Linked DNA regions of Neurospora crassa OR74A. The protein of the gene in region 4 purifies or fractionates together with the protein of the main gene of each other region. This does not show direct contact. Links are inferred from orthologs where the notes say so. Each region holds a gene or a part of one and is shown on either strand. Other genes may lie near its edges.

What was found. The genes of interacting proteins can lie anywhere in the genome.
Region 1: the proteins of NCU04252 (region 4) and NCU01674 purify together in Saccharomyces cerevisiae (affinity purification with mass spectrometry; 4 studies listed by BioGRID, with this or other methods). This does not show direct contact. The link is inferred for Neurospora crassa OR74A from reciprocal best matches to the Saccharomyces cerevisiae genes SLY1 and SEC17.
Region 2: the proteins of NCU04252 (region 4) and NCU06708 purify together in Saccharomyces cerevisiae (affinity purification with western blotting; 3 studies listed by BioGRID, with this or other methods). This does not show direct contact. The link is inferred for Neurospora crassa OR74A from reciprocal best matches to the Saccharomyces cerevisiae genes SLY1 and SEC22.
Region 3: the proteins of NCU04252 (region 4) and NCU08973 purify together in Saccharomyces cerevisiae (affinity purification with mass spectrometry; 3 studies listed by BioGRID, with this or other methods). This does not show direct contact. The link is inferred for Neurospora crassa OR74A from reciprocal best matches to the Saccharomyces cerevisiae genes SLY1 and YKT6.

The regions. Positions count from the first base shown.
Region 1 is NC_026502.1:2,742,002-2,745,805, reverse strand, and holds NCU01674 (alpha-soluble NSF attachment protein), read left to right. Parts: upstream 1-1,470; 5' UTR 1,471-1,845; coding exon 1,846-1,878; intron 1,879-1,951; coding exon 1,952-2,075; intron 2,076-2,163; coding exon 2,164-2,470; intron 2,471-2,543; coding exon 2,544-2,958; 3' UTR 2,959-3,290; downstream 3,291-3,804. Other genes in the region: NCU01673 (hypothetical protein), read right to left, coding at 123-842; NCU01675 (90S preribosome component RRP12), read left to right, coding at 3,472-3,543, 3,686-3,804. UniProt on the Saccharomyces cerevisiae protein: SNARE complex protein that binds to cis-SNARE complexes on membranes and is required for vesicular transport between the endoplasmic reticulum and the Golgi apparatus and for homotypic vacuole fusion.
Region 2 is NC_026505.1:4,347,985-4,351,189, forward strand, and holds NCU06708 (protein transporter sec22), read left to right. Parts: upstream 1-1,384; 5' UTR 1,385-1,546; coding exon 1,547-1,580; intron 1,581-1,697; coding exon 1,698-2,317; 3' UTR 2,318-2,691; downstream 2,692-3,205. Other genes in the region: NCU06707 (uncharacterized protein), read right to left, coding at 1-261; NCU06709 (hypothetical protein), read right to left, coding at 2,951-3,205. UniProt on the Saccharomyces cerevisiae protein: Nonessential SNARE involved in targeting and fusion of ER-derived transport vesicles with the Golgi complex as well as Golgi-derived retrograde transport vesicles with the ER.
Region 3 is NC_026503.1:4,097,496-4,101,151, reverse strand, and holds NCU08973 (SNARE protein Ykt6), read left to right. Parts: upstream 1-1,468; 5' UTR 1,469-1,910; coding exon 1,911-1,931; intron 1,932-1,989; coding exon 1,990-2,155; intron 2,156-2,220; coding exon 2,221-2,510; intron 2,511-2,567; coding exon 2,568-2,687; 3' UTR 2,688-3,142; downstream 3,143-3,656. Other genes in the region: NCU16686 (hypothetical protein), read left to right, coding at 1-350.
Region 4 is NC_026505.1:5,366,441-5,370,571, reverse strand, and holds the start of NCU04252 (SNARE docking complex subunit), read left to right. Parts: upstream 1-1,331; 5' UTR 1,332-1,723; coding exon 1,724-1,766; intron 1,767-1,843; coding exon 1,844-2,817; intron 2,818-2,875; coding exon 2,876-3,333; intron 3,334-3,399; coding exon 3,400-4,054; 3' UTR 4,055-4,131. UniProt on the Saccharomyces cerevisiae protein: Able to suppress the functional loss of YPT1. SLY1 is essential for cell viability. May interact indirectly, or directly with YPT1.

The DNA of each region.
Region 1 (3,804 bases), on a different chromosome or scaffold from region 4:
ACACGTTCGGCATCAGTTAGCAGATACAGAGCCCTCCTATATAGTCAGACCACGCAGACCACAGCCCTTATGCCTTCTCCAGGGCGCGCGAGACGAATCTCGGCCATTTTCCCCTTGATCATCTACTCCCCCTTCTTCCCACTCCTGACAACAAAGTATCTCCCAACCTTTTGCTCAGCTGATCCCAACACATCCCAATCCTCAGCCTCATTTTTCTTCTTTTCTTTCAGCTCCTCCATCTTTCTCCGCCTCGGCCGCAGGCAATGACCAACAATATCCTCCTCCGCCAGCGCCCCTTCAAGCATCTTCAGATCAATTGTGCTGTCCGCCAGTCCCTCCGGAGACTCATCTCGGATCGAACTCAAGGGCGCCAGCTCCTTGGCTTGATCTGACGGATCCGTGGTATCCACCGACTGGATGGCCCGCACGAAGTGCAGGTGTGAGTGCAGAGCCGAGAGGAGGCGGGTGGTGGAGGCAGGGTCGGAGGCGGAGGGCGGGGGGAGGGCGGAGAGGCGGGCGAGGTGGTGCAGAGTTTGGGGGGTTATTTCGCTTTCTTCGGGTTGGGTTGACGAGGATGGTGTGGATGATGGAGGAAGAAGAGAGCGGACGGACCAGGTTGGCGTGGAGAGGATGACTGATGGGCTGATTTGTGATGGTGGAGGGAGTTTGGAGGAGCCGCCGCGGGCGGTGAATTGAGGGAAGGTTTCGGTTGTAAAAGATCGTGAGCGGGAGAAGTCACGGGTTGATGGCTGGCTGGAGTTGGAGCTGAAGCAGGCTGAGAGGGCCGAGGAGGTTGAAAGAGCTGCGCGGTGGCAGGCGCGGCAGATGGTTTTTGTTGTCATGATAGCCTTGATGGGAAGAAAATGCCTCGGTTTTCAAGGTAGTATAGCTGAAAGGGAGATGTTGACTTGCGTTGCTCTATGAGGTTTGCATATGATGTGGCTTGGAGATTATTTGATGCTTTAATGGGTGGTTTCAGGTGAGGCTCTGGTAAAATGTCGCGATATGAGAGGTTGAGATGAAAGAGGACGAGACATCCTTTGCGAGGTACCTACCTATTGGGCGTCATAGCTGAGCTTTGGTAGGTTGAAGGCTAGACCCCTGCCACCGGGCCACTTGGTCAGGCAAGCTACCAGCCCTCAGGGAACCTGCTCAGGCGTCAAGGGCTTGGCGAGCCGGCATCAGCGATCACAGCCCGCTAAAGTGATCATCCCCCCAATACTCGTGCTCCGCCCCCACTTTTTTGGATCTCGCCAAACTCGCACCAACTAAAGTTGGTGCTCACGACTGCAACGGCCACACCACCACAACGGCCACCATAGTGAGCATAGTTCAGCATCAAGATATCAGAAGCTTGTAACTCATCACAACAACCAATTGAGATAAGTAAAATACTATAAGTATAATTAGGGAAGTACATCGTATATAGGAAGCATTTTTCTGCTTAGAAAAGCCAATACATTAGAAAGATTATGTTTCTGGCCTATAAATCAAGCCCGAAATTGCACCTCTAACCCTAACCTGGCCGTTGCGCTGGTGTGGCCGTTGCAGTCGTGAGCACCAACTTTAGTTGGTGCGAGTTTGGCGAGACCCAAAAAAGTGGGGGCGGAGCACGAGTACCGGCCAACCCCCCAATCCCATGCCCGCATACCTTACCCCGGGAGACAACGAAACACCTCGGGCTCCTGCAACCACCAACACGACACCATCCCGACCAACACCTGAGCTTCTTCGAGCGCGCCCGATTCCGAACAATTGGGACACCCATCAATCGGCTTCATACAGCGGACGCGACTCCAACTTAGAACTTTGCCCATCTATATACCGTCTAATAACTTGCCCTTCATGGCTGTCGATCCGCGCGTTCTCCAACAAGAGGTTTGAAACCTGCCCCTCCTGGCACCTCCTGACACTTTCGCGACACCTTGCTGATGCCGAATGCGAACACCAGGCAGAGAAGACCCTCGCGAGCGCGTCCAAAGGCTGGGGTCTGTTCGGAAACAAGGAAGACAAGTACCAAAATGCGGCGGATCAGTACATACAAGCGGCCAACGCTTTCAGGTTGCAGAAGTCAAGTACGTCATCACAATCATCAACACCCACGATGCGCTTTCGGGCCATATGAACCTCGCGGCAAGTCCTAACGTTCTGCCCACTACCCAGACACCGAGGCCGGCAAGTGTTTCGAGGAAGCTGCCAAGATCTTCACTGAGAAGTTGAAGGAGCCCAACGATGCGGCGAATGCCATGTTGGACGCCTTCAAGGTCTATAGGAAAGATGCCCCGGATAATGCTGTGCGCTGCGTCGAGGTTGCCATCAAGCAGTATACCATGGCGGGGAACTTCCGGAGAGCTGCGTCGCACAAGGAGAACCAGGCTGAGGTCTACGAAAACGAGCTGCAGAATAAGCCAGAGGCTATCAAGGCCTATACAACTGCGGCCGAGTGGTATGAGAACGACGGTGCTGTCGCGTAAGTGATTAATGCCCACGGCTTTTGCGCCATGTTACGAGTCCAACAGGTCGTTCTAACCAGCTGTGTGTAGTCTTGCGAACAAGCTGTGGCTCAAGGTGGCCGACCTCTCTGCCCTCGCGGGCGACTTTTTCGCCGCTATAGAGAAGTTCGAGAAGGTTGCGGAGGCTTCACTCGGCAACAACCTGATGAGGTACTCGGTCAAGGAGTACTTCCTCAAGGCCGGTCTCTGCTCCTTGGCGACCAAGGATATGGTCACTGCTCAGCGTAACATCACCAAGTATGCCGAGAAGGACCCATCATTTACGGGCCAGCGCGAATACCAACTCCTGGTTGACTTGTTGGAAGCAGCCTCAAACAACAACCTCGAGATGTTCCAGGATAAGCTTGCCGCGTACGATAAGATGAGCCGGCTCGATGACTGGAAGGCGGCTGTTCTTCTCCAGATCAAGAACAACTTTGAGGAGGCAGACAACGAGTTTTCATAAACAGGGTGGAGGAACTTGTGATATACAGCCATTTATCACTTTCTGGTTTCCTTCTTTCCTTTTTCTTTTCTTTGTTATCGTACCGGCGTTTTCTGGTTGGGAGGGGGATGAACTGTCATATCATGAATACGGTCATCGACGCTTTGGTGATTTACGGAAGACCCAAACAAACCTGCTGTCTGGGGTAGAGATGGGCTTAAAGCAATAGAAACTTGTTCCTAGTGGGTACGCGTTGTTCGTACGATCCAACATGAATTGTTGTATCTCATAACCTTGATGGCTGCCCAAGCGAAACATAGGTACCTCTATAAGCATGAGATGCCATAGCTAACCCTGGAGTTACAGTTGGGAGCCGCTTCGGACTAGCGCCAGACCCTTATCAATGACAGCGGGTGGGGCGTGCGCGCCGATAAGCGACAACTTTTCGAACTTTTCTGTTCTTCATGACATCGATTTCAGCACTGCGAAGCGGCTTGCATTGTCCCACTCCAGCGCCATTCCATCACATTCACGATGGCTTCTTCTCCGTCTTTGCAGGAGAAACTGGACAAGATTCGGTCTCCGAATCTCCAGAGCCAGAAGCAGGTAAGCCAGAGTCATGATGCATCTCTCCTTTTTCCATCTTTTGTCTTCTGCATCCCTACCCTCTTCCTTCCAGCCTGCCATTGCAGTGGCCTGTCGCAAGGCCGCCTCCATCGTGGACAATGGACCCTGACTTGAGCCACAGACTGCCAGTGTCCTCGAGGCTATCGAGGCCACCTTCAAGGAGCGCAATACACCCGCGACTCCTACCGCCTACTTCGCTGCCCTTCTCAGTCTACTCAACAACGAAAACCTCGCGACCCC
Region 2 (3,205 bases), about 1.0 Mb from region 4:
TTCCTCGACTGCTGGTTCCTCGACTGCTGGTTCCTCGACTGCTGGTTCCTCGACTGCTGGTTCCTCGACTGCTGGTTCCTCAACTGCTGGTTCCTCGACCGTTGACTTTTCGGCTGCTATCTCCTCCAAAGTCACCTGCGCAGCAGTATCAATCTTTTGGACAAGGATAGCATCCCAGTCCCCACTCACGCTCCGGGGAGGTGAGGCCGGAGGAGAAGAGAGGACGGAGGACAGCGGAGAACTACTTCCTTCTTCAGCCATCCTTCAGGACACCTTCAGTTAGTCGCCTTTCTGGAAAGATAATTATTGCGTGTTGAAGTTGTTCAAGGAGTGATCGAACGCGGCAGTGTGGGTTTGCCGGCAAAGGAAAAATTACCGTCAAGTCAGATCTGGATCTAGACAGATCCGGAACTACTTAGTTGTTGTGATATTAAACAATACCAGATAGCAGAAACTGGCAGAATGGCGCCGTGAAAGTCACCGTTTGTCTTTCGTAAGTCAATGATGGTTCATGCGGCCAATATGGCTGTGGTTACATCTGCGAACAAACTGATGTCTGGTGGAAGGGAGGGGAGAAAGTGGGGGGTTTATAAAAGTAGAGAATGAGATGCGTTCAGGTGAAAATGTGGTCAACGAAACGAACCGAAGTGGTACTACCTTGAGTACAAGTTGACGCGCAAGGTTGGGAGGATGTGCGAGGGAACGAGGTGGAACTGAACTTGATCTAACCACCACTCTGAACTGGGAGGGGGATTATACTGACTGTGATGAATGATAGGTACCTCTAGGTAAGTAGGTAGATATTCCACCTCCAGCTCCCCTTCCCCGATGTTGTTCGGTTGAAGATGCTCCTTCTTCAAGTCGTTGTGTGATGGACAGGATGGGTGGGGATGGAAGCTGAAAGGCGCCAAGCCCGGGCAGCCACTTGCATGACACACCCCGGAAGCTAGAGGTAGCTTGTACATACTGCATAGTAGGCGTGAATAGCGGGCCGGGCGAGACTGCCTGCTCGCACTATTTAACTACCTAAACAAAACTAACTTGCAGGCCCTGCAGGGTGAACTTTCAACACATTTCCAGCGGCAGTACCGTCATCAGTGTCCCGTTTGACGACTTGTAATCCTTGATAAGGAAACACACGTTGGCCTGGCGAAATCATTGCATCACTCTACCTACGGGTAATGTTTTGTTTTCTTTATATAGCCATGTAAAGAAAAAAAAAAAACAAGAAAGAGGATAGCGAATTACAATCTGGTCTGCTGGTCGACAGGGAAAGAAGCATGCAATTGAACAAGAGAATTCGTCGGTGCGAGTTGGTTGCGGTACCTAGGTAGAAGCCACGTACCTGGCTGCTTTTGACGGATCACTCCCACTCGTCATCACAAGCTTTTATAAACCTTGCCTTGTTCACTGTCCTCTCCAACGACACCAACTTAACAAATCCAAGCACGCAACTGAACTGGCCTTGATTTCGAGTTGCACAACGATACTAAAGGTCGCCAAAAACAACACAATGAAAAAGGAGTGATATAACCTATTCTTCACAATGATCCGCTCAACACAAATTGCACGGCTGGATGGTTCGTGCCCCCCCCCCCCCCCCCCCTAACTAACCCCCTCGACCAACATCTGTGTGCCTATGGAGATGTCAATGTCTTGTCCGGTAGCTAACCAAGACCCCTCCCCTCAAAACACAGGCCTCATGCTCTGCGCTTCCGTCGACGACGAAGCAACTGAATCCTCCCTCAGCGAAGTCAAGTCCCAAGTCAAACTAATTCTGCGCCGCCTAACGCGCACCTCGGAACCGCAAGCCAGCATCGAGAGCGGCTCTCTCTACACGCTGCACTACCTGATTCAGTCCGACATCGTATACTTCGCCATTACGGACCGGTCGTACCCGCGCAAGCTAGCCTTCACCTACCTTTCCGACATTGCGGGCGAGTTCGCGACGACGCACACCCCGGCACAGCTCATGAACCCGACGCTGCGGCCCTATGCCTTTATGGACTTTGACAGCTTCATCAGCCGCACCAAGGCGACTTACAGCGACACGCGTGCGACTCAGAACCTGGATAAGCTGCATGATGAGCTTAGGGACGTGACCAAAGTCATGACCAAGAACATTGAGGATCTGCTGTACCGCGGCGACAGCCTGGAGCGCATGGGCGAGCTGAGCAGTAGGCTGAGGGACGATAGCAAGAAGTACAAGAGGGCGGCTGTTAAGATCAACTGGGATTTGCTGCTGAAGCAGTACGGCCCCTTTGCGGCGGTCGGTTCCATTATCATCTTCTTCTTGTGGTGGAGATTCTTCTTTTGAGTGCATCCCAGGCAGGGAGCATCACCGGTAGCGGGTTAGCATGATACCGTCGGGTGGGTTTCCTCAGTCAGCCTGGCTCTGTATGATGCTGTGACGGATAGCCTACGTGGATTCTGTAATTATTTTAATATGTGTTTGTAGGGCATTGGTTTTTGGCGCTTGACCTAGCATGGAGTTTGGGTAAAGGAGGTTGGGGGGAAAGGGGGGCAAACGCAAAAGGACGTTTGGCCAGGTGAGGTTTCAGCTATCAAGACATGTTGCTTATAGGTTCCTGCTTTCCACTCCTTCATCCGATGCCTTCCTAAAGCCTGACAAGGTCTCTATGGATGACTGTACCACAGTGTCACCGATGCTCAATCATGCGTATCTCCTGGTTCATTCCAGACCGGCATCTCTTCTGCTCGACACGCTATTTCTGTCAAGCGATGATACAAAATCTCCATCTGAGATAGCCTATCGGTCTCTTTCCCTACTTGAAGTAGAAGCTCTTGCCCCCCCAAACTCCAATTCCAAACCCGTTTTTTTTTTTTTTTCTTTTTTTCAATTTTGTTGTTCTCAATCCAGAACATAAACCGACACCCTGGACACTAAGCCCAAGCTTGAACCACCCGCACACGCACCCGCAAGCCTCAATCACATAATCAAACAACTCCCCGCCGCCTTTGGCAATAACGCCGGTATACTCGGCACCGGCAACGCCGTATGATACCATTCCAAATGCTCCTGGAAGCTGGCCAAGTCCTCGAACCCCCTCTCGTCCTGTGCCCACTTGACCTCGTCCTCGCTGTCCTCACCCTGGTCCACGTACGTGTATTCGTCGCAGTAGGGACACCATATCCTCGCCAGCCAATCGCCAGGGACGGGGGCAATGTGGTTCGCAATTGCTAA
Region 3 (3,656 bases), on a different chromosome or scaffold from region 4:
GGGCGAGGCTCGAGAAGCTGACCAGGGGGGACGAGGTCGCGTCGGGAAGGTCGACTTCGTCAATCAACGGAGCAGACGAGTGCGAGCCAAGCGAGCCAAGAGCGAACGATGGTTCCTGTCCAGGTTACGCCCGACTGCCCGGCAAGACGTTGCACCCTGGACTTGCCTTTAAAGCCAATGGGATTGGCTCGGCCCTGGTCTGCAGCAGCGGGTCCACCCACCCACTGCACTGCGAACCCACTGCAGAGAGTCTAGTGTCCACTGCGCTTCGTCGCCGTCCCAACGTCCCCCAGCATCCCGCCCGTTCCTCTTCCATCTCACAAGCGAACGGCACCGCGACGGCAGAGTGAGATCGCTGGGGAAACGAATGGCGAAGAGCCACAGCTCACTGGGCTTGTCCTAATCGGTGCAAAAAGCGGTGGAGCACCACAGGCATCGCCGGCGTCCAAATCTGGTGTAGTGTAGGTGGAAGGAGGAACCGACGCATGTGCCGGCCACTTCACGAACCCCCCCTGTCTCTTTCCTAGGCTTGTCTACACGACACTACACTACATAGTACACTACACTACGGCTTGGTTTTCCTCTTTGAGCCATCTCCTCGTCATTACATACACTACGACTACGGGTCTTGATGGTTGTTGTTCCATCAAGGTCAACTTTTGGTAGGAAGACTTCTAGCTTCACCAGTCTGACGATCTCTCGGCCAGAAGTTCATGTCCAGCTTTACATTATTGGTGATGTACAGACGCGTGGGCAAGGCGGTTCGATGGTCATATGTGTGTAGTTACATTTGTGCGACCATGAATGATATGTACCCGAAAGGCTTCGAGATCCGACACGAGGTGGAAATCCGCGCGGTGTAATATCCGGACCTGGTGGAGAGGATCGATGACTTTGTTCTCGAAAAGGTCATTCAAGGCATCGATCCCATCCGTCTGACTCGAAGGAGTTTTGCTCCATAGTATTTTATACTGGGTAGTCGTGGAATCATATACTATGTGCCTCATAGGGGTAATACTCGTTGAGAGGTCCGCGATCCCTTCCAGACTCGGAGCAGAGTGCATGTCAAACATATTCGCTTCGCGGGTGAACACTGTACACCAAAGACCCTTTTTTCGCTTCAGGAAACCTCGTTAGAAGCATGGGCCGGCGTTCCGCTTGTTCTGTTTGTGCTTTCTAATCACCTTCCACATCATCAGTCCGTCCCCTTGGAAACTTTTGTTCAATGTTCCAGGAAGATGTTCTTGACAAGTGCGATTGTAGGGATCTGAGTAGTCGTCTTAGTCGTCATTGCACATGTCAATCATGGTTGAACAAAAAGCAAATGAAAGGACACGGAGATGCAACAAGAGCCCGTGTTAGGACAAGGTCTTCCTATAGTAGCATTGGCACTAACATGTGCTAGCGGGGCGGTGTTTGGCCGACGCCCGCCTGACGGTGCTGTTCCAGCCCAGAGGGCATGGGTCTCGATGGCCTGGCCCAACAAGAAGCGGACGGCTGTGGTTGGCTTCGACACATCGCCATTCAGCCTCGAACAACAGCTTGATTCCATCGATACCTCATCGCATCGCCATTGCCGCCATCGATCGCGCGTCGTCTATCAAACCCCTCCCCCTAATCCATCGACAATCGTCGAGCCCGAACCACGACCGACACAGCGACGCGCTTCCTTGACCAAACCATCGCAACTTACAATCCATTAACCTAATCTAACGACGAACCCTACGATTCGGCAATTCCAGACCTCATTGCTCCCCACGCCATCACATCGGCTCTCTCTATCCCAACGCGAGACATCAACATCATCGTGTACAGTCAGGAACCATCAACAGCGATACTCGCCTGATTTGCGCCAAAGCTCTGAAACACGACCACAACAAAACCTCGGGGACGTTTCAAATACCGCTACCATGAAGCTCTACTACATTGGTGTAAGATACGGCTGCTTTCATAGGGGGTACAAGAAGGTACCTGCTGACCGCGAACAAGATCTACAAAAACACCGAGCAGCCTGCGGTGCAGCTCTGCGGTGCCCACGAGCTTAGCGACTTCTCCAGGTTCACACGAGACCAATACAAGAACTTCATGACCATGATCAGCAGGACTGTCGCAGAGAGGACGAAGCCTGGCCAGAGGCAAAGTGTTGAGGAGCAAGGTGCGTCTATGGTGAACTCTCTGCTCGCATACATGTGCCTAGCTGACTAGGTGGTGTCCGAACAGATTATATTATCCACGCCTATGCCCGCTCCGAGGGTGTTTGCGGTGTCGTCATCACCAAGGACTACCCTCCTATCGCCGCCCACAGTGTCCTTTCCAAGCTCATGGACCAGTTTCTCTCGGAGAAGCCGGTTGCCACGATAAACGCCGCCAAGAACGACGGCGACATCCCTTTCCCGGCCATCGAGCAGTACCTTCGCGACTACCAAGATGCCAACAACGCGAGCAGCATTGCAAAGATCCAGCAAGAGCTCGACGAGACCAAGATCGTCCTACACAAGGCAATTGATAGCGTATGTCCATTCACAGAGGGTAGCAATGCTCTATATAACATGCTAACCTAGTTTTAGGTTTTGCAACGAGGCGAGAAGCTCGACGACCTGGTTGCCAAGAGTTCCGACCTGAGTGCGCAGAGCAAGATGTTCTACCAGAGTGCGAAGAAGCAGAACTCGTGCTGCCTGGTTATGTAAAGATCGTTCATCAATACCAACCAACCACGCGCGACTGTCTTCGCTTTTAGTCAGCCGCACTGATATATGCCATCGACCGCAACGTTCCCCCTACCCAAATACAAAGAGCGACTGACCCCTCGTTGTCTTCGAGGCACTGGTGGGGGTCTCTTCTAATTCAGCTTTTGGTTTCCGCGCAGGTTGCAGTTTGGCTACTGACGACAGAGGGCCTTACAGTAGCCGCTTTGGATATGTGAAAGCCACTTACCTTGACGGCTTCGTGGGCTCTGAGAATGCTAAACTTCTAATTCAACCTGCAATATACCCTTTCTCATATTCATTGTTGTGTGGTACATACCCGAAACTGTGAAAGATTGACCACTGTTTGGCGCTAAAGCTGTGAAATACATACTTCGACTACCAGATGTAGGTAGTCCTGTTATAGATTTGTTATGTGTCGAACCCGAGGCTGCGCACTTATCTGAGAGATCTTCGCTCCGTTTCTTGCATACCCGTTAGTTTCATACGACATCCGCCCTCAAAGATTATGTGATGGGCCGACACAAGCGAAGCGGTCGGGTTCCCCAGTCACGACATTCGGTTGCAGTGATGACGACCTTGTCCGCCACGCCGTAGTGGCGTAAACTGTGCGAGTCGTAACTAATGTACACTATGGTATATTCTAGGGGTTGTTATCCCTCTCAAGCTAGCCCAGCCAAAAAGACTCTTTTGAAGATATGAATGGAAACGTTGAGATTCAAACTACAAGACTACGCAGCAGCATCAATTGAGCTGATCGATGATGGCGGCATTGCGTACGGATCTTCCTCCATGCCGATCTTATATCGGCTCCGTCGGCGTCTACTCATGTGCACTACAGACGTTGGATGCAAGCTGGGGTTCGAACAACATCATAGGAAACTGAGACTGTAAATGTGCGGGGTGGCAGAGGCGCTCCTACCTGATGTCGCGCCTTTGCTTCAAATGAAT
Region 4 (4,131 bases):
TCCTCTCTATCCCGGGTTAAAGAATGGAGAGGTCCCGACCTTGAACTCAGCTGAGCAGGCAGGTAACGAAATTAATCTTCAAAAGCCAGGGCCGCAGGTCGATCGGACGACTGCAGCTGCCAGGGAAAGAGACGACTTCCGAATGACGGTCGCGCAAGCAGAAAAACGCCCGAGACGTCAAGAAAACCTGCGCGTTTAAATCGCCTCTACAGCTTTGCCAGAACAGGGAAAAGATGTACGAAGAAAAGGACGCGACTATCAAGTACGACGATGGGCGATGCGACAAGGCGACCAAGGGCGACAAGTTGGTCGTCGAAGAAAGGAGAGATGCTGCTGATGTCAGGTCAGGGTGACGACGGGAGTTGAAAGGAAAAAAGTTGAACGTGAGCAGCGGTCGCGCAAATCAGGTGCGTTCCGCCGTTCATAAAAAGGGACTGACGCTTTGCGACTGGGCAAGCGGGTGCATGAGTGCAGTGGGCAGGCGCTTTCTCAACGAGTTTGCCAGTGACGGGAGTGCATTGACTGGCTGGCACGCTAGCGCTCACGGGCCGCCGACGCTCGTTGGCACTGGCGGATCACGGGCCTTTCTCCAAAAATGGCCCAGGCACGCAACGAAGTGGAAGTCAGCACACGTGTAGCAAGAGCTTCTGTGGTCAGTGCGCGTGGCAAGTGAAGGTGGAAGTGCCCCTGGGAAGTTGGATTTCTGTATGTAGCACGCTGGCACGATACCTGGAACCAAAGAGGAACCGGCCGTTTGTTGGGTTTTGGGTGGGTCCGCGCCAGCTGGGGGCAGGAATCAGTGGGAAATTGCAGCAGTGTTTGTACCTTACCATTTAATCGCTACTTCTACCTACCTCTAGACAGGCAGACAGGTTATGGCAGGAGCAGACATACTGAAAATACCTAGAGGTACGTACCAACCTACCTCTAGGGAAGGTATTTCTCTGGACCTTGAAGTTGTCCATCATACCTCTACACTTCTACGGATATAGGAAAATCGAGAGCAAATAAGACGGACGACATGGTAAATTGTCAGCGATGACACGCACGGGCTCAATCATCCATTCCTGGAACAGTCAAAGGTAAACGCCACAGAGACAGGAAGATGTCACAACTTGCTGGTTGCGGTGTCAATCGAACATTGGAGGACGATAACGGAATCCTCGTCATACCTCTACTGTGGGGGAAAGCTCTCAGCTCAGGGCGGCACCTCCTGTAAGTGGAGGTTAGCGGATATAGAAGGGAAGGGGTAAACAGTCCACTGGGAGACAAAGGCCACTGGTCCAAGCCGAGGGAGAGATGTCAGGTACCTTGCGGACCAGAGAAGACAACATACCTCCAGAAGTAGGTACCCAAGGTAGCTTCAACGGAGATATTCTGTTTCCTCACGTCAGCTTTCTGTATACCTAGGTACTATTGAACACGTAAGGATCTTCTGGACTCAGTACTGTAACATCTTAACACGTTTGCTCTTTCGTCTTTAAAAAGTTGCGGCTCTCTTTCAAAGTTTGCGAAAAGGCCAACGACTCGAGGCCAGCCTAGCGATAATTCGGTTCAAGGGACGCGATCACAAGCCGCCCCACCACTGTGACAGCGAGACGGGAGCTACTACCTTCCCTTCCACTTGCCTCAACAGCCTACAGTATTCTACAGCACCTCGGCCCCGAGTCCTCCTCCACGAACTTCCTGCCGACCAGCATAGCAATCACTTTAATACACAGACATGGCGCCAACACCAGGGAACTCTCTGCGCGACAAGCAGATCTGTATGTCCCACTGCCTTCCTATCCCCAAGGGTCACAATGCCAGACAGTCTTGCGGTGGACTGACACATGCTCTCTAGTGTCTATCAAGAAGCTCCTGAACCTCAACCAACCCCTCGAACCGACCGACGGCGACGACTCGAATGGCTTCCAATCCGCTTCCGCCCCCTTGCTAAAGGACATTCCCACGTGGAAGATCTTGGTCTTTGACGAGCTTGGTCGCAATGTCATCAGCCCAGTACTCCAGGTTTCGGATCTGCGATCCATGGGCGTCACGCTACACGTTTCCATCGCGGCCAACAGGCAACCGATTCCTGATGTCGATGCCATCTACCTTATCGAACCGAACGCCAAGAACCTCCAGCAAATCACCAATGATCTTCAGAAGAACCTCTATAACTCTGCCAGCATCAACTTCCTCTCCTCGGTACCACGGCCACTGTTGGAGGACTTTGCGGCGCAAACCGCTGTCGCCGGCACATCGGAGAAGATTGCCCAGATATTCGACCAGTACCTCAACTTTATCGTTCCCGAGCCGGATTTGTTCAGTCTGGGCATGCAGAAGGAGCATACATACTGGGCGTTGAATAGCGCAAAGACACAAGATGAGGAGTTGGACAGAGTTATCGACAGGATCGTCAGCGGCCTGTTTAGCGTGGTGGTGACACTAGGCGTCATTCCCATTATTCGCTGCCCCAGGGGTGCTGCTGCTGAGATGGTTGCAACGAAATTGGACCGAAAACTTCGCGATCATATTCTCAACTCCAAGGACAACCTCTTTTCGGCACACAGGGCAGCCGCTTCCAGCACTGGAACGCCAAAGCCCCTGCTCGTTATCATGGACCGTAATATTGACCTAATTCCCATGCTGTCCCACTCGTGGACCTACCAGAGTTTATGCGCCGACGTCTTTGGTTTGTCGGAATCGAACCGGATCACAATCGAGAGCCCCGTGGACTCCAATAACCCGGCCAAGGGCACCAACAAGAAGACGTATGATTTGGCTGCCGATGATTTCTTCTGGGCCAAGAACTCATGCCTGCCGTTCCCTCAGGTAAGCTGGAAGTGCAGACGGGACATCCTGAGGATGGTCTACTAACCAGGATGCTTAGGTTGCCGAGGACATCGACATTGAACTCACGAAATACAAGGAGGAGGCGGATGCTCTCACCAAGAAGACTGGCGTTAGGGATTTGGACCATTTCGAACAAGACTCGAGTGCAAGTGCTCAGCATCTAAAAGCAGCTGTTACACTCTTGCCCGAACTGCGCGCAAGAAAAGCCACTTTGGATATGCACATGAACATCCTTGCTGCTATCCTTGGCGAGATTCAAAGCCGACAGTTGGATAACTACTTCCAACTGGAGGAGAACGTGTTCAAGCAAACCAAGGCGCAAGTGCTGGATCAGATCAAGACGGCGGACAAGGGCAAGCCTGAGGATTACCTGCGTCTCTTTGTGATCTGGTACCTCAGCACGGAACAGGATGTGTCTCGTCAGGAATGGACGCAATTTGAGGAGGCACTCGCGGCCAAGGGCTGCGACACAACGTGCCTCTCTTACATTAAGCAGTACGTGCTACCCCCCTTTTTTTTCTTGGGCTTTTTCAGCCATTTCTGACTAACAATACCACACAGAGTCCGCGCCACGACCAAAATGACACAACTCACCACGGTAAATAATCCTTCATCCTCCAACCAGCAACAATCCGGGTCCTCGGACCTTTTCAACCGCTTCTCCGCCATCTCCAGCCGTCTCACCGACCGCCTCAAGGAGACGGGCGTGCCCACGGGCGCTCTCTCCAATAACGTGGCCTCTCTCTTGGGTGGCATCAAGAACTTCCTCCCCGAAGACCGCGACCTCACGGTAACCAAGATCACCGAGTCCCTCATGGACCCATCGGCCGCCAGCTCCTCGGCCATCGCCAAGACGGAACACTACCTCTACTTCGACCCGCGCAGCGCCAACGCGCGCGGCACCATGCCCCAGCCGTCGGCCATGCGGGCCCAAGGGAGCGGGTCATCCCTGGGCGGGCCCGGTGGCTTGCCAGGATCAAGTGGCCCGGGCCAAACGGCCAGTTTCGGGCAACGCAGACAGGGGTTCTCGGAGGCGATTGTGTTCATGGTTGGCGGTGCGAGCACGGCCGAATACAGCAATTTGCAGGAGTGGGCGGCGAGAACGACGACGGGAGATCGTGCGAAGAGGAGGGTGATTTATGGTGGTACGGAGTTGCTTAATGCTGGCAGCTTTATCAAGGAGGAGTTGGAGAGGTTGGGTAAGGAGGTTTCGTAGATTGATGGCCAAAGATGAAGGGGAAGAGTGAGGGGTGGAAGTGAGGAGCTGCTATATATCAGATTATAATTACTTTA